6 linked regions of the Callithrix jacchus genome follow. The protein of the gene in region 3 purifies or fractionates together with the protein of the main gene of each other region. This does not show direct contact. Links are inferred from orthologs where the notes say so. Each region holds a gene or a part of one and is shown on either strand. Other genes may lie near its edges. The genes, in order: SEC13, NUP43, NUP98, NUP62, SEH1L and NUP133.

Evidence for each region.
Region 1: the proteins of NUP98 (region 3) and SEC13 purify together in Homo sapiens (affinity purification with mass spectrometry; 4 studies listed by BioGRID and IntAct, counting the BioPlex papers as one, with this or other methods). This does not show direct contact. The link is inferred for Callithrix jacchus from reciprocal best matches to the Homo sapiens genes NUP98 and SEC13.
Region 2: the proteins of NUP98 (region 3) and NUP43 purify together in Homo sapiens (affinity purification with mass spectrometry; 4 studies listed by BioGRID and IntAct, counting the BioPlex papers as one, with this or other methods). This does not show direct contact. The link is inferred for Callithrix jacchus from reciprocal best matches to the Homo sapiens genes NUP98 and NUP43.
Region 4: the proteins of NUP98 (region 3) and NUP62 purify together in Homo sapiens (affinity purification with western blotting; 3 studies listed by BioGRID and IntAct, with this or other methods). This does not show direct contact. The link is inferred for Callithrix jacchus from reciprocal best matches to the Homo sapiens genes NUP98 and NUP62.
Region 5: the proteins of NUP98 (region 3) and SEH1L fractionate together in Homo sapiens (co-fractionation; 3 studies listed by BioGRID and IntAct, with this or other methods). This does not show direct contact. The link is inferred for Callithrix jacchus from reciprocal best matches to the Homo sapiens genes NUP98 and SEH1L.
Region 6: the proteins of NUP98 (region 3) and NUP133 purify together in Homo sapiens (affinity purification with mass spectrometry; 6 studies listed by BioGRID and IntAct, with this or other methods). This does not show direct contact. The link is inferred for Callithrix jacchus from reciprocal best matches to the Homo sapiens genes NUP98 and NUP133.

The regions. Positions count from the first base shown.
Region 1 is NC_133516.1:67,482,917-67,487,041, reverse strand, and holds the start of SEC13 (protein SEC13 homolog), read left to right. Parts: upstream 1-1,325; 5' UTR 1,326-1,409; coding exon 1,410-1,550; intron 1,551-2,831; coding exon 2,832-2,876; intron 2,877-4,125. UniProt on the Homo sapiens protein: Functions as a component of the nuclear pore complex (NPC) and the COPII coat. At the endoplasmic reticulum, SEC13 is involved in the biogenesis of COPII-coated vesicles.
Region 2 is NC_133505.1:156,520,735-156,524,234, reverse strand, and holds part of NUP43 (nucleoporin Nup43), read left to right. Parts: coding exon 1-17; intron 18-3,271; coding exon 3,272-3,407; intron 3,408-3,500. UniProt on the Homo sapiens protein: Component of the Nup107-160 subcomplex of the nuclear pore complex (NPC). The Nup107-160 subcomplex is required for the assembly of a functional NPC.
Region 3 is NC_133511.1:69,199,430-69,202,929, reverse strand, and holds part of NUP98 (nuclear pore complex protein Nup98-Nup96), read left to right. Parts: intron 1-1,320; coding exon 1,321-1,428; intron 1,429-3,159; coding exon 3,160-3,340; intron 3,341-3,500. UniProt on the Homo sapiens protein: Plays a role in the nuclear pore complex (NPC) assembly and/or maintenance. NUP98 and NUP96 are involved in the bidirectional transport across the NPC. May anchor NUP153 and TPR to the NPC.
Region 4 is NC_133523.1:43,702,823-43,707,046, reverse strand, and holds the start of NUP62 (nuclear pore glycoprotein p62), read left to right. Parts: upstream 1-1,424; 5' UTR 1,425-1,581; exon of another isoform or gene 1,582-1,713; intron 1,714-1,871; exon of another isoform or gene 1,872-2,063; intron 2,064-3,010; 5' UTR 3,011-3,078; exon of another isoform or gene 3,079-3,122; intron 3,123-4,043; exon of another isoform or gene 4,044-4,179; intron 4,180-4,224. Other genes in the region: ATF5 (cyclic AMP-dependent transcription factor ATF-5), read right to left, coding at 1-123. UniProt on the Homo sapiens protein: Essential component of the nuclear pore complex. The N-terminal is probably involved in nucleocytoplasmic transport.
Region 5 is NC_133514.1:49,490,222-49,493,836, forward strand, and holds the end of SEH1L (nucleoporin SEH1), read right to left. Parts: intron 2,760-3,615; coding exon of another isoform or gene 2,747-2,759; exon of another isoform or gene 1,176-2,746; coding exon 977-1,175; 3' UTR 501-976; downstream 1-500. UniProt on the Homo sapiens protein: Component of the Nup107-160 subcomplex of the nuclear pore complex (NPC). The Nup107-160 subcomplex is required for the assembly of a functional NPC.
Region 6 is NC_133520.1:21,060,146-21,063,645, reverse strand, and holds part of NUP133 (nuclear pore complex protein Nup133), read right to left. Parts: intron 3,050-3,500; coding exon 2,894-3,049; intron 2,570-2,893; coding exon 2,499-2,569; intron 1-2,498. UniProt on the Homo sapiens protein: Involved in poly(A)+ RNA transport. Involved in nephrogenesis.

The sequences.
Region 1 (4,125 bases), on a different chromosome or scaffold from region 3:
ACTGCACACTTACTCGTTGAGTGAATGATGGAATGAATGAGAACTAACGATTGAAAGTATCTGGGCTGAGCCTGGCATATATAGTACATGCTTTCTCTTAGAAAGGTGAGTGTGCCTCAGCAGCAGGTTTGAGGGAACCTTCAGGAACCCAGAAATCAGAACACTGCGTTCTTGCTCTACAGAGGGCTAGGTGTAAATCACTCACTGCTGGTTAGAGTTGAGGGTCTTATGCTCTGACATTCAGCTTATCCTAAATGAATTTTTAACTCATTATCTTTGATTTCAAAGAGGTGAATTGTTTTGAGTGCAGGTGTTAACAGGGACCAGATAACACCAGGTGCCCAGGAAGAAGTACTCTCTCTCCCCTTCTCTGCCTCTCCTCTCCCCATCCTTCTCTCCCCATCCCTCTCCCTCCTCCCTCTCTCTCCCCCTCCCCCTATCCCCCTCCTTCTCTCTCCCCCTCTTTCCCCCTCTCCCCCTCTCCCCTCTCCTCCTCCCTCTCTCCCCCCTTTCCTCCCTACCTCCTTCCCTCTCCCTCTCTTCTCTCCCCTTCTTTCCCTCTCTCCCCTTTTCTCAAGAGGCCCTCCCTCTCTCCCCTCCCCATCTCTCTCCGTTCCTCCCCCTCCTCTCCCCCTCCCCCTCCTCTCCCCCTCCCCCTCCTCTCCCCCTCCCCCTCCTTCTCTTCCTCTCCCTTTCTCTCTCTCCCAGTCCCTCTCCACCCATCCCTCTCCACCTCTCCCACTGTCTCCCTGCCTTCTTTTCTCTTCCCCTACCTCCTTTTCTCTCCCCCTTCCTCCTTCCTTCCCCAGTCTTGTTCAGAAGCATGGGTCATCAACCCTGACTGGTGGGTGAGAGTGGTTAGAACTAAATTCTGGTTATTTCTGAGGTCCTTTGGTAACCTGGTTGAAACTACCTCTCAGTAAACTTTCTTCCTGAATCTACTTATCCCTCAGCTTTGCAGAACTCAGGGTAACAGCTGCTTTACCTTCTAAAGAGGCAGCCTGGTGGAGTGAAGTTTTGTGGGCTGGGAGTTAGAAGGTTAGGGGATGGGGCTCTGCCTTTAACTAGCTCTATGACTTTGGCAAGTGCTTTCTTTGCTCTGGGCCTCTTCAGTTCCTTAGTCTGTCTTAGGGCACTGATTGACTCTGCCCTTGGTACCTGCCCTCCCCACCTTCCCATGCACTTTGTAACTTATACAGCTTGGCACATGGAGGAAACTCCTTCTAGTCCTTACTTGCCTTTGCAGACTTGGGGACCTGTTTTTTTGTTGTTGTTGTTCTTTGTTTTTTGTTTTCAAGATGGGGGTTTCACCCTGATGGCCAGGCTGGTCTTGAACTCCTGACCTCAGGTGATCCACCCACCTTGGCCTCCCAAAGCAGGGACCTGTTTATTAGAGAGTCTAGAGTTTGATGAGAGAAGCTGTGCTTACTTGGTGTGTACCTCTTGAACTGCTTTGCAGCCATCCTCTTCCAGTGTCTGCCTTTCTGAAAACACAAGTCAAACTTCATACCTACAGGGCTTGTGCTGGAAAAGATGAAATGGGGAAAATGGTAAGAAATGTCTGTTCCACACCGAAACTTCCTTTTAAGTCCTTTTTCTATCCCAAGAATTTAAGAGAATAGTGGTTGAGCAAAGAAAAAAAAATAACAGCTTTTGTTAATTTACTTATTGATTCAGCAGATAGTCACTGAGTTCCTTCTATTTGCAAAGCGCTGTGCTGGATAATTTGAGAGGATTTGAAATTGCAGATGGCTCAGACCATGGCTCCAAGGGGCTCACCTTCTAGTGGGGAGAAGAAAAAGCATAAAACATTGTATATGTTCAGTGCTGAAGATATGCAAGAGTCCAGCCATTTGAGGATCTGAGCATCTTAAAGAAGGGTGGAAGGGCAGACCTCAAAGAATGAATAGGAGAGTGATGACCATGACACCACGTTCCAGCCCTACAGACTGTTCAACCCTGGATCCCACTTGGTGATGGACCGGGGAGCAGCCTCAGGAAAACTCGAATCAAGCCTCCCAGTCTGAAGTAATAATCCTGTTATGCATTAACTGCCTGGAACATCAGAGGCCCTGTCATCCAGGAAGGGAGCATCAGCTGTAGCTCCTTTGTGGTCTCTCCTCACCCTTAAGAGTAGCCAGGACTGCTTGCCATTTCCCCACACACATCAAGCTCACTCAGACCCCTTTGTCTTTATTCGTGTATTTCCTCTGCCTGGCCACTTGGACTGGTACTGTTTTCCCTTGTGCCATCTGCAAATTCCTACTCATCAACTAAGGCCGAGTTCATGTCTACCACCCCATCCCCCTCAGTCTCCTGTAGGACATGCAGACCACAATTAAAGAATTTATCTTGGCCGGGCATGGTGGCTCACACCTGTAATCTCAACATTTTGGGAGGCCAAGGCGGGCGGATCACAAGGTCAAGAGATTGAGACCATCCTAGCCAACATGGTGAAACCCCATCTCAACTAAAAATACAAAAATTAGCTGGGCATGGTGGCACGTGCCTGTATCCCTGCTACTCAGGAGGCTGAGGCAGGAGAATCACTTGAACCTGGGAGTTGGAGGTTGAAGTGAGCCAAGATCGCGTCACTGCACTCCAGCCTGGATGACAGAGCCAGATTCCACCTTAAAAAAGAGCTTCTCAAGGGCAGAAAGTTCCTCTTATTTGTGTCTGTGTATCCAGTTCCTGGCACACTGCTTGGCAAAAAGAAGGTACTTAGAATGAATGCTTAATGAATGAATGAGTGAACAAATGCAGTCAAGAACTTGAGATGATTGTATTCTAACTGCCATCAGTTAATTTACCAGCGATATCTTTGGTTCTAGGTGTCAGTAATTAACACTGTGGATACCTCCCATGAGGACATGATTGTAAGTATTAATATCACCCTCCCTGGAGGGCTGTGGACATGGGCATTTTTGTGGGAGGGAAGCAATTGGGTTTTTCATTACCCCTTCCTGTTGCTTATTCATGGATCCAGGGTGGCTCTGCATTGGTTGCCCATCAGCCTGTAACCTCAGGGGGTATGGCTGGGCTCCCCAGCAGTGCCCTCTGAGTAGTCAGGGCTGCAGCAGTCTGGTCACTCTCTTCTGGGAGGAACCCGGGAATAATTTGTAGTTCTAGGCTCTCGGTCTTCCAGCCAACACAGTAACCTGCTCTGGGATGAAGCCTGGGTGAGTGCACAGGTTTGACAATAGACTTCCCACCTGCCTTCCTCTTCCTGTCACTTCTTGGCCCCGTTGGAAAGGGGGGTGAAAAGTAGAGAGTGTCGGAAGATGACTCAATACAAAGGCAGAAGGTGGCCACAGTGAAAGCCCCAGGCAGAGCCCAGTCAAACTACCAAGACAATATGCCAGATAAGGCCCTTTGAACCAGAGGTCTGTACTCAGGGCATTTCCTGCTAGGTAAACGTGGGGCTCAGTATAAGAGGACAGGGCTGCAGGAGAAGGTCCAGAGGATAAAGTCTACAGCAGGAAAAACTCTGCTTCATTCGGGGCCAAGCCGCCTTTGAGCAAGAGCCAGGACAGCTGACTGACAGCATTGCATGTCAGGGTTCTTGCCCTCACAACCTGTCTACCAACAGTTGCTTTGGGTTTCTGAGAGGTTGTCTGGTCCCAGAGTTGTATATGTTCTCTGGATTCAGTCACGAGTGGTCTAGCTGTAAGACCACACCTCTTTGGAGATAGCTTGGCATCATGGTCAGGAAGACCTAATCTGAGACTCCCTAACCAATATCTTAACTATTCTGAGCTAGCCTCACTTATGGGAAAAATAATGGATGTGCTATCTATTTGTATGAGTTTGGTTTGAGAAACAGATGAGGCAAAGTAGTAATGACAAACATTTGTATGCTTACTGAGTGTCAGGCCCCATGCTAAGTACTTTTCACTCAATATCTTGTTTAACCTTCGTAACAACCCTTGAAACAGATGCTGTCATTAGCCTTATTTAAACATAAGGGAACTAAGGCCATAGGATGTTGGTAAATAATAAAGATAAGGAAACTGAAGCTCAAGGAGATGAAGTAGTTTCAACAGTTGCACAGCAGGTAAGCTAAGGAGATAGGATTTAGATCTGTAAGGTACTTTGTCCTGCCTCCTTCCACTGAGAAACATAAGA
Region 2 (3,500 bases), on a different chromosome or scaffold from region 3:
AGCTGTAAGAACCATAGGTAAGAAAAATCCCAGCCTGGCCAACATGGTGAAACCATCTCTACTAAAAATATGAAAGTTAGCTGGGTGTGGTAGTATGTACATGCCTGTAATCCCAGGTACTCAGAAGGCCAAGGCAGGAGAATTGTTTGAACCCGAGAGGCTGAGGTTGCAGTGAGCTGAGATGGCACTGCCATATTCCTACCTGGGCAACAGAAGGAGACTCCATCTCAAAAAAAGAAAAATCATTTTATTTCTTTCATCTCTCACAGAGTAATTGAGTACTTACGATATACTAAGTAAACACAGCCAGGTAGGGGTGGATCACGAGGTCAAGAGATCCAGACCATCCTGGCCACATGGTGAAAGCCTGTCTCTACCAACAATACAAACTTAGCTGGGCATGGTGGTGCGCACCTGTAGTCTCAGCTACTGGGGAGGCTGAGGCAGGAGAATTGCTTGAACCCAGGAGGCGGAGGTTGCAGTGGACTGAGATCACACCACTGCACTCCAGTCTGGCAACAGAGCAAGACTCTGTTTCAGAAGTAAACACAATGTTAAATGGTTGAGGGATATAAAAATACATGGACAGGCACAGTGGCTCATGCCTATAATCCCAGCACTTCAGGAGGTCAAGGCAAGCAGATCATTTGAGGCCACGAGTTTGAGACTAGCCTGGCCAACATGGCGAAATCCTGTCTACTAAAAATATAAAAATTAACTGGCAATGGTGGCACACGCGTATAGTCCCAACTGCTTGGAAGGCTGAGGCATGAGAATTGCTTGAACCTAGGAGGCTGAGGCTTTAGTGAGCCAGTATCATACTATTGCACTCCTGCCTGCCTGGGTGACAGCAAGACTCTGTCTCAAAAATATATATATAAATGTGTGCGCGCGCGCGCACACACACACACACACACACACACACACACACACGACAGGATGCTTTTGTCAAGACAGTATATTGATGAGGCCAGTACAAATGACTGACTAGAGAAGACAGAAACCTTTTTTTTCCTTTGGCCAGAGGGGATTATCAGATAAAGCATCTGGGAGTAGGTAGTAATAGTTTTTTCTAGGTTCTAGACCATAAGTAATACTAAAAGATGGCATGCTAGACAAAGGGAATAGGCCAGAGACAGGATAAAGACCTTCAGAGAATGACAAAAAGTATAGTTTGACCCAACTTTAGATATTTATGCAGGAGAGATGAAAGATGAAGCAAGAGAAGGGTAAACAGGCCAGATTGCAAGGAGTCTATAATGCAAAATCACAGAGATTACATCTTGTAGGTGGAAAACTCAGTGTATTGGTTCTCAACTATGCTTCAATAAGACTTGCCTGAGGAAGTTTTTTTGAACTGTCCACCACTCTAGACCTCTTGAATCAGAATCGCTAGGAATTGAGCCCATACGTCCATCTTTTTGTTTTGTTTTATTTATTTATTTACTTTTTAGATGGAGTCTCACTCTGTCATCAGGCTGGAGTGCAGTGGCATGATGGCTCACTGCCACCTCCGTCTCACAGGTTCAAGCAGTTCTCCTGCCTGAGCCTCCTGAGTAGCTGGGATTACAGTCACCCACCATCACTCCCAGCTAATTTTTGTATTTTTGGTAGAGATGGTCTTTCACCATGTTGGCCAGGATGGTTTCGATCTCTTGACCATGTAATCTGCCCACTGTGGCCTCCCAAAGTGCTGGGATTACAGGTGTGAGCCACCGTGCTCGGCTTTCTGTGTTGTTTATTATGGTTTTCAGTTCTGAGTTAAGTTGCATTGCTTTTTTTTTTTTTTTTTTTTTGTGACAGGGTCTTGCTTTGTCACCCAGGCTGGAGTGCAGTGGCATGATCCAAGCTCACTGCAATTTCTGCCTCCCAGGTTCAAGCAATCCTTCTGCCTCAGCCTCCCAAGGATCTGGGACCACAGATGCATACCACCATGCCTGGCTAATTTTTGTAGAAATGAGGTTTTACCATGCTGTCCAGGCTGGTCTCCAACTCCTGGGTTCAAGTGAATTGCCCGCCTCGGCCTCCCAAAATGTTAGGATTACAGGTGTGAGCCACTGCACTGGGCAACATCACTTATTTGTTAATTAATGACCGTTGTCTGGTGGCAGTGTAGAGGAGTGGCACAAACTAAAGTCTATAAAGTATATGTTAAATTATGAGGCATAAGTTCTAAACACCAGGAAATCAACAGAAGGACCATTATAACAATCAGGAATGACTTCATAGAGAGGGCGAGAGTTGATGAGGATGAAAATAAGTAGATTTGGGATGAGTCTGCAGAATAATACAAGATTGGCATGAGCTCTGTAGAAAGCACAGGGGTTTGGCCCAATAGAAGGGAAGTTCTAGATCAGGAACTAGTGGGAAATAAGATTGGGTTTAGGGGAGCTTGAACAACTCTCTCAGAAATGCAGGGTAACAATCTTTTTCTTTTTCTTTGAGACGAAGTTTCGCTCTTGTTACCCCAGGCTGGAGTGCAATGGCGCGATCTCGGCTCATCGCAACCTCTGCCTCCTAGGTTCAGGCAATTCTTTCTCAGCCTCCTGAGTAGCTGGGATTATAGGCACGTGCCACCATGCCCAGCTAATTTTTTTTGTATTTTTAGTACAGACAGGGTTTCACCATGTTGACCAGGATGATCTCGATCTCTTGACCCCGTGATCCACCCGCCTTGGCCTCCCAAAGTGCTGGGAACAATCTTAAGAGTTAAAAAAGAATGTATGAAAACTCAGCCTTCCATTTCTAACACAGTTCAAGGCTGGGCCCAGTGCCTCACACCTGTAAATCCAGCACTTCGGGAGACCGAGGTGGGTGGATCACCTGAGCTTAGGAGTTCGAGACCAGCCTGGCCAATGTGGTGAAACCCTGTCTCTACTAAAAATACAAAAATTAGCCGGGCGTTGTGGTGTGTGCCTGTAATCCCAGCTACTAGGGAAGCTGAGGCAAGCAAATCACTTGAACCTGGGAGATAGAGGTTGCAGTGAGCCGAGACCATACCAGTGCCCTCTAGCCTGGGTGACATGGCAATATCCATCTTAAAAAAAATAAAAAGAAAAAGAAAACAGTTCAGATGTCCTGTAATATTTTTCCATCCAAAGAGAATTCATTTAAACATGTACATTACTGTGTACTTTTCTATAGAAATTTAAATTATTAGTTACTGGAAATTGTATTTGTAATATAGCAATCCATGAAAGGAGTGTGATTTAAGATTTTCTTGGAAAAAAGGAACTCATTAACACATATTACCATTTTTAAAAATTTTTAGACAATGCAGATAGTAGTACACTCCATGCTGTAACCTTTCTTCGAACTCCTGAGATTCTTACTGTGAATTCAATTGGACAGTTGAAAATATGGGATTTCAGACAACAAGGAAATGAGCCTTCTCAGATATTGTCACTGTAAGTATTGATTTGTAATTTCAGTAATGTAATCCAAAATTAATGTGTTTGGTTGTTTATAGCAATTATCTTTAAGCTATGTTAATTACATTT
Region 3 (3,500 bases):
TCTTTTTTTGAGAGCGGTTGGGTGGAGAGCTAGAATGGAAGATTTTGTTTACAGAAACATATGGAATACCACTCAATGTAAATGATTGGGGATTCTTAGGATACGCTGGAGGTGCAATTAGCCTAACGGAAATCTCTGGCAGAAATAAAACTTCTTGTTAAAATAAACTGCAGAAAATGAAGAATTTCTCAGGTAAATTGGTGACCCTGAATTTAAAGTTAAAATATAAATGATGGTGAAAAATACTGTGTGATGTCCCTTGGAAAGTACAGTAGTTGAGAAAACTGGCAGTACAAGCAAGAATCTTTGGTTTTACTTATCGTGCCTTTTTTCTCATGAAGTTATGGGGAAAAAACAGGTTTCTTTTTTTTTTTTTTGACACAGAGTCAGCTAGGCTGGAGTGCGGCAGTGCGATCTTGGCTCACTGCAACCTCCGCTTCCCAGATTCAAGCGATTTTCCTGCCTCAGCCTCCCGAGTAGCTGGGATTACAGGCGTTTGCCACCATGCCCAGCTAATTTTTGTATTTTTAGTAGAGATGGGGTTTCACCACGTTGGCTAGGCTGGTCTTGTATTCCCGGCCTCAAGTGATTTGGCCTCCCAAAGTGCTAGGATTACAGGAATGAGCCACTGCACCCAGCTGGTTTTCCATTTTTTTTTTTTTTGAGACAGAGTTTCTCTCTTGTTACCCAGGCTGGAGTGCAACGGCTCGATCTCGGCTCACCACAATCTCTGCCTCCTAGGTTCAACCCATTCTCCTGCCTCAGCCTCCTGACTAGCTGGGACTAAAGGTGTGTGCCACCATGCCCAGCTAATTTTTGTATTTTTAGTAGAGACAGGGTTTCACCATGTTGACCAGGATGGACTCGATCTCTTGACCGCATGATCCACCCCCCTTGGCCTCCCAAAGTGCTAGGATTATAGGTGTGAGCCACCGTGCCTGACTGGTTTTCATATTTTTTTAATGCAACATGACAGGGCAGAACAGAAAGGAGAATTTAAATATAGAGGTTTAAATGTATATATTGAGTAAAGCTTTTCGTATGTATAATATTACATGTATTTTAGCATGTAGTTGGTTGGCTTGAGTTACGGGATTAATTCCTGGGTTTGAAATTACTTTGTTACTAAGATTGATTTCTTCAGATAACCTTGATGTAGGGAGACATCAGAAATGCAGTATATTTATTTAATCAAGCACCCTTGAAACTCTCAGTATAAAAGACTTGGCGGGGGGTGACTCGTTTTACAGTTCAGTGGTTGAGAAATTGTATATGTGATAAAACTTGGACTTACATATTTACCTTTATTTAACTTTGCAGCCTCCAACTGGTACAGATACTATGGTCAAAGCTGGAGTTAGCACTAACATAAGTACCAAGCACCAGTGTATTACTGCTATGAAAGAATATGAAAGCAAGTCACTAGAGGTCAGTAAAATAAAATACAGAATGTCAGTCTAACCTTTTGATTCTGTTGGAATCAAAAGAATCCAATAGAATCTTGGATTCTTTTCATCCAAAAGATTTTTAAATGGTTTTGATTATCTTTAGGATAGAGTGGTTCAGTTTGGGTTTATGTAAAAAATTAACATCAACCAAATTGTTTTTAAAAATCAAGTATTATATTTGTAGCTATCTACTTTTTTAGCCAGAGATAATATTCAGGTGTATGTTAAGGTCTTGCACCCCTAATGGTTTTTTTTTTTTGAGATGATCTCTTTTACCCAAGCTGGAATTCAGTGACACAATCACAGCTCACTGCAGTGTCGGCTTTCCGGGCTCCGCATCCTCAGCCTCACAAGTACCTGGGACTACTGGCACGTGCCAGCACACCCAGCTAACTTTAAAAATTTTTTTGTAGAGGTGAGGCCTCACTATGTTGCCCAGGCCAGTCTCAAACTCTTAGAGCTCGGGTGATCCTCTTCCTCGGCCTGCCAGTGTGCTGGGATAAAAGGCATGAGCCACTGAGCCCAGTCTAGTCATCTGTTCTCATCTAAATGTTGGTTCTGTTAACACTGGGTAATGTGTGTGTGTGCATATGAAGGTGTTCTTAATTAAATCATGCAAAGTCATGCAGCTTAATAAAAGTTTTTTGTTTTTTGGTTTTTTTTGAGACTGTCTCACTCCGTCACCTAGGCTGGCATACAGTGGCACATCTTGGCTCACTACAAACTCTGCCTCCCAGGTTCCAGCAATTCTTACACATCAGCCTCCCTAGTAGCTTGGATTATATAGGTGTGCGCTACCATGCCCAGCTAATTTTTTTTTTTTTTTTTTTGAGACAGAGTCTTGATCTGTTGCCTAGGCTGGTGTGCAGTGGTGCGATCTCAGCTAACTACAACCTCTGCCTCCCGGGTAGCAACTCTCCTGCCTTAGCCTCCGGAGTAGTTGGGATTATAGCTGCATGCCAACATGCTTGGATAAGTTTTGTATTTTTAGTAGAGACGGGATTTCGCTGTGTTGGCTAGGCTGTTCTCGAACACCTGGCCTCATGATCCACCCACCTAGGCCTCCCAAAGTTCTGGAATTACAGGCATGAGCTGCAGCGCCTAGCCACGTTATGTACTTTTTAATGGCTGTCTTTCAAAATTGAGGTATTCATCCATGTTGTTGCATGAAGTTAGTTTGTTCATTCTTATTGCTTATGTAGTAGGTTGTACATTTGGATAATCATTCCTGATTGTAGTGATAGCTTCTTTTGACATAACAAACTATGCTTACTTTATTGGGCTGTGCCAGGAACATCCTGACTTTAGGCAAAATTGATAAACTACTCTTTTTGTAAATTTTTTGCCCCACAGAATCAGCATCTTTTCATTATAATTTTTACTTTTTTTTTTTTTTTATATTGTAGGGCTAGGGAAATTTAGGGTTATTTTATGGCATTTTACCAAAAGAAGAGTGTATTGTTTGTAAAAGAAAATTGAGAATTATGGTTGACCCTTTGGCTTGTAGTTTTACAATAATTACGGTATGGATTTTAGTGTTTATTGGAAATGTTTTTCTGTAACGATATAAGGTGATTCCTTAGTTTTCTCTTTTTTAGTCATGGTTCCTATGTAAGCATAGAACTTGCGTACTAAATTCAAGTCTTTAGTCTCCTAAGTAATTATTTTAAGCTGCATATTAATATTAGAAATATGTTTTCCCTCCCTTCAGGAACTTCGCTTAGAGGATTATCAGGCTAACAGGAAAGGCCCACAGAACCAGGTGGGAGCAGGTACCACAACTGGCTTGTTTGGGTCTTCTCCAGCCACTTCCAGTGCAACAGGACTCTTCAGCTCCTCTACCACTAATTCAGGCTTTGCATATGGTCAGAACAAAACTGCCTTTGGAACTAGTAAGCACTTGATAACATATTAGATTATATTGAGGAGAGACAGATAACTAAAACATAATTGCATTTTGGGATAAGGGCTGTGGAGAAAAATAGTAATTTAGGGATACCATAGGAGTAGGGAGGAGTACCTGGATGTATGTGGGGTAAGGGAGAAATACAG
Region 4 (4,224 bases), on a different chromosome or scaffold from region 3:
TTCATAGGGAGCCAAGGGGGCAGGGGCTGGGGGGAGTTTCCCATAGTCTACGAGCCATCCCAGCCCGCTAGCTGGGAGCAGGGCCCTGTCCAGCTCCAGACCCAGGGTCGCCAGGAGTGACATGGCGGTAGCACAGGTGCTGGGCACTGATGGCAACAGGAGACGCTGCAGCAGCAACTGGGACGAGGTTCTGGAGGTTGCTCAGCTGGGCGAAGACGGGCACCAAGGCGAAAGTGGAAGACCTACACGCGTGAGACAAGAGTGGGTGGGGTCAGGAACAGCCTCGCCCACCAGCCAAAATTCATAGGGAAGCCAAGCCACAGCCCCAGGTACGTCCATGGGGTTCCTTCCTCCCCCTTCAAACCAGGGTTTAGGACTAAGCCTCGCCCTCTCCGAATACTAAATTTGTCCTTTCTTTCCCCAAATCTCTGAGCCCCACACACCACCAAGGAACTCGCTTTATAGGACCGATGCCCCACCTCTTCCCCCAATACGGAACCTAAGGGTGTCCCGGGGGAATTACCTTAGGCCCCTCCCATCCACCTCAGAATATTTCGCTTCATAGAAAAACTCAATCCTAGGGACATTTTCTTCCAGCCACGCCCCTTCCTCTAAAATATTTCCTTTTGGCCCCACTGCCTTCCTAGTTTCCATCCCAAATCAGTTCCCAGGGTAACCGTCCCAGATCCCAGCCTTTTAATGTTATCCACTCAAATCCCACGCCTCGCCTTCCCACTGCCCCTCCAAGCCCCGCCCCTCATTGTTTAGCTCCGCCCCCGATTCCTTAGAGGCCCCGCCTCTTTGTCCCATCCCTCAGCTAATGGTTGCCTTGGCCCCGCCCCTTCTCATAATGAACTCCCTAAGTCCCACCCATCGTGACGACGTGGTTCTGGTTCCACCCGTTTAAAGGGGTTCCTCTAAGCCCCGCCTTCTGCCCTGTCAATCTACGTGAGTCCCCGCCTCAGCAGGTGCCTAGTTGAAATAAAAGAAAGCTGTGCTGTGAGTCAGAGCAACGTGGAGCCGGAGAGGTGGAGGAGGGTAGAGGGGATTGGCAGAGAATGGCTACCCGAACGCCCCGTCTACACATGGCTTTGCCCCCGAGGGCCAAAGTGCATGCTCCGCCGCCGGAGCGGTCCAATTGCTTTTACACCGCCGCCCTCCTGGGGATCAATGCGCGTGTGTGACGCCGCACAGGACCCGCCGCTCATTCATACGGGGCACTAGTGGGCTACTGCGCAAGAGCAACCAAGCACGCACAGAATCGTTTAGAAAAAAGCACACCCTTCCCTGGAATGCGCAGCCGCAGCCGCACGCGGGCTGACAAACACCAAGTCTAGAACTCTCCCACCCGGCCCCGGGCCCAGTGCGCATGCGCACCCGCGCGCCCTCGGCCCACCGTCCCTCTTCCGCGCCTGCGCGACCGTGATTCTCCGCTCGTGGTTCCCCACCCCCAGGGCTTCCTAAAGAGGGCCACGAGCTGCGAAAGCGCGGGAAAGGCGGTTGGACAAGGAGAGGCGAGCGGTTACTCACTCCATGGCTGCGGCAGGAAGAGGCAGCGGTGGCCTCGGCTGAAGAAAGAAGGTGGGACGGAGAGCGCAGGCGCGGAGACGGGCTGGGGGCACAAAGGGGTCGCGGCTACAGAGCCATGGCCGGGGCTACGCGGGCGGAGGAGGCGACGCTTAGTGAGAAGACTGTGAACTGAGGTCGGGGAATGAGGCGGCCCCGGGGACTGGGGATAGATATACCCGGGGTGGCGCAGTACGGCCCTCCCGGATCCTTCCGCGCCCCGCCCTCGCGCGGCCCCAAGCGGGAGGCAGCCCGGTCCCCTCCTCGTGGGGATCAGAGGATCCGACTCCCTGCTTCCCACTCACAGGATCGGGCCCTCTCCTGCTTGTGGCTCCGAGGTCTGGTTTTTCCTCCTGACTCTAGGCTCTGGTTTCTCTTTCTGCCTCTGAGGTCTGGGCCTGCTTCATTCCCTTCCCGCAGACTCGCACCGATTAATTTCCCTTTCCCTGCTTCCAGAATTTCCTGCCAGCCACACTTTTCATCTCCATCCCCCAACTGCTGACCCTTAGAACCCTCGTGGGTTAGAGTCCAGCATGAGTCACAGCCCCCTCCGCAACGCAGACCTGCCAGGGTGGCCTCGGGCAAATAAGTTCCCTCACCTCGTTTCCCTGTCTGCAAAATAAGAAAATCAACTCTCGTAGCGGATTTATGAGACTCAAGACAATGTGTCCGCCAAGCTTTATGCCCAGAGTTCAACTCATACATTCCTGTTCAACATTTTTTTTTTTTTTTTTTTTGAGAAAAGAGTGTCGCTTTGTCACCCAGGCTGGAGTGCAGTGGCACAGTCTCGGCTCACTGCAGCCTCCCCCTTTAAGGTTCAGGTGATTCTTCTGCCCTCAGCCTATCGAGTAGCTGAGACTGCAGGCACGAGCCACCACTCCGGGCTAATTTTTGTGTTTTTAATAGAGACGGGGTTTCACCAGGTTGCCCAGGATGGTCTCTATCTCTTGACCTTGTGATCCACCTGCCTCGGCCTCCCAAAGTGCTGGGGCTACAAGCGTGAAGTACCGTGCGCAGCCATATTTTATTATTAATAGATACTCTGGGGCCCAGTCTCACTTCTTCCTCCCTGCTTGCAAGAGCCGCAGGCGTTGGACTGTCCAACACCTGCTGGTGGGTCATTCTTCTGTCTCCCTCATTCCTCCAAAGTGTCCACTTCCAGCCGTCCTCACCTCCCATTCCAAAGGATGGGTGCCCAGGCCCCATCCCCTGGCAGGGATTCATGCATCGAGGCCCCAGCTTCGTTCTTTTCTCCATCCCTTGCCTTGGCTTCCTTTCAGACAGGCTTTCTTAGCCTCCACTGGATAGGAGCTGTCTCCCAAGCCTGCCAAAAATGGAAGATCTCCGTTTTCCTTTAGTCAAAGACAGGGTAGCCATCTTGCCCCTTCTCCTGCACTGGGCCCTCCGCCAGCTGAAGTGGATGTTGGTCTTTTCTCTGTTGCAGAAAGCCACCTTGTCCAATCCACATCAGGACATCCCAGCTGGAGTTCAACCTTCATCTCTTCTGTGGCAGTTAAGAGAGTGAATCAGGGTCCAGAGAAGGTGTAGGAACCCTGGTATTGAGCGTTACACACAAACTTCTTTGTCCTCCCTTCCCTGTGGCAGGCAGGAAGTCCTTCTCGGGATCTGACCACCTTCTCTTGGAGCACTTACTGTCCACTCTCCCAGTTTCTGAGCACTTGTCCTGTATTTCCTTTGGCTGAGGGGCTGTGTTATCACCTATGCAGTATGTAACCTAGCAGCTCAGAGCACAGACTAAGCTTGTCCCATCCGGGGGTCCACATGTAGCCCAGAACGTTCTTAAAACATTATGCAGATTTTTTTGCAGTTGTATTTATTTATCTGTTGCTCATCAGCTATTGTTAGTGTATTTTATGTGTGGCCCAAGACAATTTTAGTGTGGGCCCAGGAAGCCAAAAGAGTATCCATCCCTGGCGTAGACTCTGGAGCCAGATTATATGAGTTCAAAACCTAACTGCACCCCACTTATTAGCTGTGCGGCCCTAGTCATTTCCCTTCCCTGTGCCTCAGTTTCCCCTTTAGTACAAAGTGGCATTAAGAGTGCCTGCTGCTGGACCAGGTGCAGTGGCTCACACCTGTAATCCCAGCATTCTGGGCAGATTGCTTGAGGTCAGAAATTGACCAGCCTCGGTAACTTGGTGAAACCCCATCTCTACCAGAAATATAAAAAAATGGCTGGGTGTGGTATTTTGCGCCTGTGGTCCCAGCTACTCGGGAGGCTAAGGCAGGAAGATCACTTGAACCCTGGGGAGGGGCAGAGGTTGCAGTGAGCCGAGATTGGGCCACCAGACTCCAACCTTCAGGACAGAGTGACACCCTGTCTCAAAAACATTTCCTACCTCTTAAGGCTGTTACGAGGTTTAAAGACTGCCTGGTACACAGTAGGTGCTGCGTAAAAGCTGGTTACTGTATTGCTGTAATTAAGGTGGATGTGTTCTCTTTCTGTTCCTGTGCAGTAAGTGCTTTCAAACTATGACTGGTCATCCAATTTACAAAGGAGATTTCGGGACCAACTTCCTTCCACTTCTCAGTACAGGTTTTTGAGCAAATGCAGATGGAATTAAGGGTAGACTGTTGGACCGACTGGCAGTGGTAAGAAGGCACGCTTGTGCCATACCCACCCCCCACCCCTGCCGA
Region 5 (3,615 bases), on a different chromosome or scaffold from region 3:
ATGAAATACTGTTCAAAACACCTGTCTCTCTCTAGCCCTGATAGGTTAAACCCTTGATAATTCCTCAGAAAACTGAACCAAAATGCCTATTACTAGTTTTAACCATTTTGCCCCAATTACTGTCAAGTATATTCTAATTTTAAAATATTTTAGAAAAAAATCTTTTCTAACGTTGACTAGATTGAAAGTCAACATCTGTCCATTCTATATGTTAGTCTACCTACTTTCTACCTTTTAAATAAATGTAATATTTGCTCACATCTCCTAATTTTTATTTGTTTGGGTTTTTTGTGAGATTATGAAAGAAGAGTAAGCCTTAGCAACTATCTTAAATAAAATATATCCTATTTTTATAAGGCAAGAGATTCATGTATTTAAAAATATATTTTATTATATAACCTACCCGGATAATTACAAAAGCTTTAAACAGTAATTCTAAGCAGTGAAAGGCAATTTCCTTTAAAAAAAAAAAAAAAAAAGACCAAAAAGTCCACATTAGGTTTTGCAGCTTTATACACAGGAATGCTTTATTTTATTTTACATACTCGTCAGTTGCAACATTAGCCTATAAAATTAAATCCATTTCTTAAGGTCTCAAAGGCAGAATAAACTTCACAATAATATGCTTTCACATTAGCCAGTCTGATAAAGCATAAGCAACTTAAGACTATGGTAACAGTTCAAAATAAAATTACAGAACAGGCACTTTGAAGTCTGCTTCTGTGTATAATTTCACAGATAACATTATTTGGACATACCTCATTTCATCAAAGGTTATCACCCAGAGAAGCAAATGTTCCGTTGCTGCAGACGCACAAACAGATTTAGGTTCTGAACACTGTATTCTGGTAGTAATACATGCAAGACAGACCCTAAGTTAGAAAAATCTTCTGAAAGAAAATGAAGAAAAATAGCAGCCAGAAATGAAAGCATTTACAAGCACTTGAATAAGGCCTTTCAATGTTAAGTCAGTGTTTTAAACCCCTTCATTCTCAGGTAAGGGATTAAGAGGCCGAGAGAGATATCGTCTGCGAGGGTGAGGATACTGGAGGTTGGCAGTGTCAGCATCGCAAGAGTGCTCTACCAGAGGAGGAAGAGGAGGAGGAGGAAGGAGCTGGATAGAACTGGACCATCTCGATCCAGCCCGTGGGGAATCCAGAGGGGGAAAGAAATACCTGAAACAATTAAGACAGGAACAAACACCAAACAAAACAAAAACAACAGGAAAAAAAAAAAAAAAAACAAGAAAAAGAGAAAAGTAGTAAATACAAAGAGAACCAAAGAGGAGAAAACATGCTAGGAAAAAAAAAAAAGCACAAATCAAGACCCTTACTCAAACCAAGATTGCTTAAGCAAGTATAAAAACTTGAAAGAAATACAATCTGTTAAACTTAAAATGTCAAAAAAAATCAATATAAACGTTACAAAGAAAAACATTAATTTTATAAATTCAAAACATTTTCTAATCTCTCAGAAACATCTGATGCTATTCTGTTCATTTACAAATCTAATAAGCTTTTTATTTTAAGCAATGGTTCACTCACAGCAGCAGCAAGCACACTCTTTTTTTAGTGCATACATGATACTGGGAATACAAAGAGTATGGCTGTCTACTGCAACATGCTTTTGAAGAATTATATTGAACATACTTATTTTTCTGCAAAACCCTTAGAATAGCTACCGAATTTTGACAAGTAAAAGGATTCACAGAATGACTGTTCCCTATTGTTAATCTTGTTCCATCTTGTAACTTACCAGTAATACTTATGCATTTTAGCAAACTTAAATATTTATAGCTTTGTTATCAAGGTCACAGCTTTACAGGATATGAACTAATTTAAACAGCCAACTAAATTAAGAAAATCTTGAGACATGGAATGCTGACATTCATTTACATGCACAATTTTAGTAAAATTTTAATGGCTTCTCTTATAGTACGTGTCCAAATTTTGATGTGAAGGAAACTAAGCCATGAAATAAATAACACCATAAGAACATATAAATGTATATTAGCAACATTTATCTCTTTAGTGAATATCAATTAAAAACTTAACAAAAAGGTGTTTCCATCTTACTACCAAATTATAAATGAAACACCACCAAATGCTTAACCTGGCTACAAACTGTACAGTTAAGTTACTTTCTTTTTACTATTACTACTTTACTAATTCACTCCTTTACTAATATTTTTTAAATATTACAAAGAAATGACAGAGTTGTACTGAATATCATGTATAAAGCAATTCTACAAAAAGTAAACAAATCAGCACTCAAAACAATCTTTATGAAAAATATTTATTCAATCTTCAAATTAAAATTAGAAGAGTTCATTTTAAGCTGTTTTAAGAAAGCAAAAGAAATATGTCTGTATTTTCCCAAAAAATTAAAGTGATATTTCCCCTCTTCTCAACTAGTTACATAAGAAGGTTAACAACCCTTTTAATCTTTAAACCCAAGTTAGTTTGAGGAACATTTCAAAAAATTGTTTTGGTGACAATGTCTCAACAGAAAGCCTCTCCATTTATATTTCAAAAGTTTCAAATAGTGTCAACAAACTGACTAGTACAAAAAAATATACACCGTATTTTTAAAGGCCTTTTGGGTTGCGTTTAGTAGTAAGCAGGCTGCTGGTGTATCTTGGGAGAGGTCAAAATGGCGCTGGGGAAGGGGAAAAGGAGCTCGCTTTCCATTCCTGTGTGCATGCAACAAGCAGCAAAACAGCAAAGTTACTCCAGTTAGCTTGTACTCAGCTGTGCTTTCTGTTAAAGGACATAATACAAATGGAAAGGGAAAATGCATCACAGATCTAACACAGATGGTTATTGGCACAATTAAGAATACAGATCAAAACGTCGAAGCTATTTACAAAAGAAAATACATAGTACAAGCAGTGACCAAAAACCAGACTTTAAAAATCAACTCTAATATTACTTGTTTCATGAAATAATCTTTATAATCTGGTATCTTCCACAGTAACCTGAAATTATTTTGATGCTCATATTTACAACCTCAAAAATCAAAAGCAGGAATTCTTTATAAAAATATAACAATATAAAAATAGTTGAAATTTTAAATACAATTTTCTTCTTTTATTTAGGATATCCATTAGGCTGTGTTTTGAAGCTTCCTGATTTCTATTCCAAATTTATTCACAAAGGCCTATTAAAATAGTTTTATCTTACAAATTCACATATTTAAAATTTGAACATGAAAATAAAAGGATGACTCTTTAGATGACATCAGATATTCCTTATTACGATACACAAGAATCTAACATATGCTAACATTTTAAAAATCAATCTCAGATTTTATTATTTCCTCTTATTTCCAATAAGTTTTAAACACAAAAACCAAATAATTTAATGTACTCTCTTCTAAAAAGCCTTAATTAATGTATTTATTTAAAATTTCAGTTTGACCTGATACAAAGACCACACTACAAGCACTAAAAAACACTAACGTTCATTTGGACTAAAACCCTCACTATTAAACCAGATAACCTCTTCCTCTCACTGCTGCAGAAGCAGCGTTGAATCTTAAACCTATAAACATTTCTACCAATACATCACTAAAGCTTCAGAATATAATGTAATAGCCTCATAACCTACCAGCAAA
Region 6 (3,500 bases), on a different chromosome or scaffold from region 3:
TCTCTCTTTTTTTCTCTCTCTCTCTCATGCCCAGGCTGGCCTCAAATTCCCAGCCTCAAGTGAGCCTCCTGCTTGATCAGTAAGTTTTTATGTGAATATATCCAAAATAATGAAGGTTAAAAAAAAATTCCAAATTTTGTATCTAAAATGAAGATATCTAAAATTTGTATTAGTAATCATCTAGTAAAATAATTTATTAATTTTTGTTTTATTGCCTTAGAAACAAAATCTTGCTCTGTTGCCCAGGTAGAGTGCGGTGGTGGAATCATAGATCACTGCAGCCTTGGTCTCCTGGGCTCAAGTGATCCTCCCGCCTCAGCCTCCTGAATAGCTGGGACTATGGTGCAGACCATCAGCCCAGATAAATTTTTATTTTTATTTGTGTGGAGACAAGGTCTCGTTTTGTTGCCCAGGTGATCTTGAACTACTAGCTTCAAGCAATCCTCCTGTCTTGGCTTCCCAAAGTGCTGGGATTATAGGCATAAGCCACCCAGCCTGGCCAAGTAATTTATAAACCTATTCACTGAAATTATAAGCCCAGATCGCAGCTCTGGCCAAATGGACAACAAATCAGAAAGTGTGAATGACTATGAGGAAGACAAACAAACACTACTCTCAAAATAAAGAAACCCATCCATATGAGGAATTCTCTGTACAGTTCTGATCACAAGACCTCACGGAAGTAAGAGAGTACTAACTAGATCATTTAGAGTAAAGGAGGAGAGGAAGGTCAAGAGGGTGAGGGCTGCACCTCACAGGGATCCCACTGGTCAGCATGACAACACTGGGGAAGAAGAGTCCTGGGTGGACCCTGCATAGCAATTCCTGAGCATGCTTCTCATTCTCAACCCCATGCCTCCAGTTCTGAAAATTATGTGAAAAATGTCTGCACTATATGCCCACAGTGGGCTGTCCTAAATTTCCAAAAGTCTGGTAAAGACAAACAGGTAAACTGTATTTAAAATACTGGCTGGGCGCGGTGGCTCACGCCTATAATCCCAGCACTTTGGGAGGCCGAGATGGGTGGATCACAAGGTCAAGAGATCGAGACCATCCTGGTCAACATGGTGAAACCCCATCTCTAAAAATACAAAAATTAGCTGGGCATGGTGGCATGCCTATAGTCCCAGCTACTCGAGAGGCTGAGGCAGGAGAATTGCTTGAACCCAGGAGACAGAGGTTGCGGTGAGCCAAGATCGTGCCATTGTATTCCAGCCTGGGTAACAAGAGCGAAACTGTCTAAAAAAAAAAAAAAAAAAAGAAAAAGAAAAAAGAAGAAAATGCTTACAGAAATCAAACAAGTACTATTACTTTTACCTCTTTGATAGCTTTTGTAAGGTTTTCAGAGACTGTAAAGGACCCTACTAATAGTCTCAATAGCCCTAGAAAGAGAAAAATTACACAAAGTGGTACAACTGCAATATCCCTCAAAGGAACAAGTAGAATTTGTTCTACTTAACCAAAACATGTAACAAGAACATTAAAAATTAAAACTCATAAAACATATTCTTTAATTTCTGAGAAGTTATCTTCGAAAGGATTACTAGTTATATATTTGTATTCACTATGAGCAATGTTACAAATGGTTTTTAAGTTCCATGTGACCTTCAGCATTAAAGTTAAATAATAACATGGGTAATTAGCTTTACCAGACTAAGCCGGGATCCTATGTACCACTTGGGGCACTGTTTCTAAGAGGAAATTTACTCTGAGTATGAACTCTGATGAAGTTCTAAGCTGTGCTACCAAGACAAAACCTTACCTCATCCTTTACTCAGCACAGCCACAAATGTAGGCCTAAAGCTCCTTGAGCAACACAAGGAGGGTGGGAAACATGTGCCTAATACCTCTAATAAGAGCAATGACAGCATGGGGCACACACGACAGTGGGCAATGACAGGATCTCAGGCATCTCTTGGCAGTGAAGAAGAGAAACTCTAGCTGTAAGCACAGAAAAGCTATGTCTCTAACTAATGAGACACCAAGGTAAGAATATACCATTTAAGGCTGAAAAATGCCTCGATTTCCCAAATGAACTAGGATCACTTGATAAACAACAGCAAAACCATTCAGTAAGGCTTAATAGACAGTATGAGAAGATAAGCACTGAAAGAACAGGGTGGGCACTGTGGCTCACACTTGTAATCCCAGTATTTTGGGACACCGAGGCAGGAGGACTGCTTGAACCCAGGAGTTCAAGACCAGCCTGGGCAACATGGTGAGACCCTATCTCTACAAAAAAATTTTAAAAATCAAGCAGGTGTGGTGGCACATGTCTGTAATCCCAGGTACAAGGGAGGCTGAGGAAGGAGGATTACTTTAGCCCAGAAGGTCATGGCTACAGTGAGCTATCATGGCACCACCATATCATGGTGACAGAGTGAGACCCTGCCTCAAAAAAAAAGAGACAGAGAGTGAGATTGCTCATGATTTTATAAGAAACATCAACTTATTTTTTTCCAAACTCTTATCTGTGTTCTTTATGACAAATTGCTTACCAGTTTTGCTTCAAGTCCAAATATCGAATGTTGACTCCTTCTTTAATAGCTTCATAGTTACTTTCAGATCCCTACATGAAAACATCAATAATGTAAGCTTCTTGAGTGTAGGAATCATTTCTTTTCACCTTTATATCCCTAGCACCTAGTGAAGTGCTTCACCCATGATAGCTCAGTTGCTGAATGAAAATGTACATTTAAAAAAATCGCTAAGCAAGTAAGCCAGTGCATTCTGATATTTCTAGAGACTGACTACCTCATTTCCACTTAATCTGATAACTATACACTTGTTTATTACACTGAAATGTGTTGAAATAAATAAAACATTTAAGGGAACCAGCATTATCATACAACCATAAACGTGAATTACAGAGATGAGTATTATTGCTCCTTACCCAAATAGCATCAGTAATGTTTTCCTTCAGGGCTCTATTTATATCCCAACTATGCACATGTTTTTCCGAAGTATCATCTAATTCCCATTTACTGATGTTTGAACTTGTCAGGCTGTAAAAACTTGATTTCTCACTATCCCAAAGAACACCTGAAAGCTATTCAGAGAAGAAAAAGAAGTCAAATTCACAGAATAAGTTCTAATGTTAAAGAACTATTGTTTTAAAACTCAAATTTCACATATTTGATTAGTAATCCTAAAAGAATTCTTCATTCAGGACTTAAGAAAGGGATTCTGGGCCAGGCATGGTGTCTTAGCCCAGCAATCCTAGCACTTTGAGAGGCTGAGGCAGGTGAACTGCCTGAGCTCAGGAGTTCAAGACCACCCTAGGCAACATTGTGAAACCCCATCTCTACTAAAATACAAAAAAGTTGCTGTGCATGGTGGCACATGCCTGTAGCTCCAGCTACTCAGCTACTCAGGAGGCCTGGGGCAGGAGAATCACTTGAACCCGGAAGGTGGAGGTTGTGGTGAGCCGAGATCACACCATTGCACTCCAGGCTACGTAACAGAGCAAGACTCTGTCTCCAAAAAAAAAAGTAATCCTG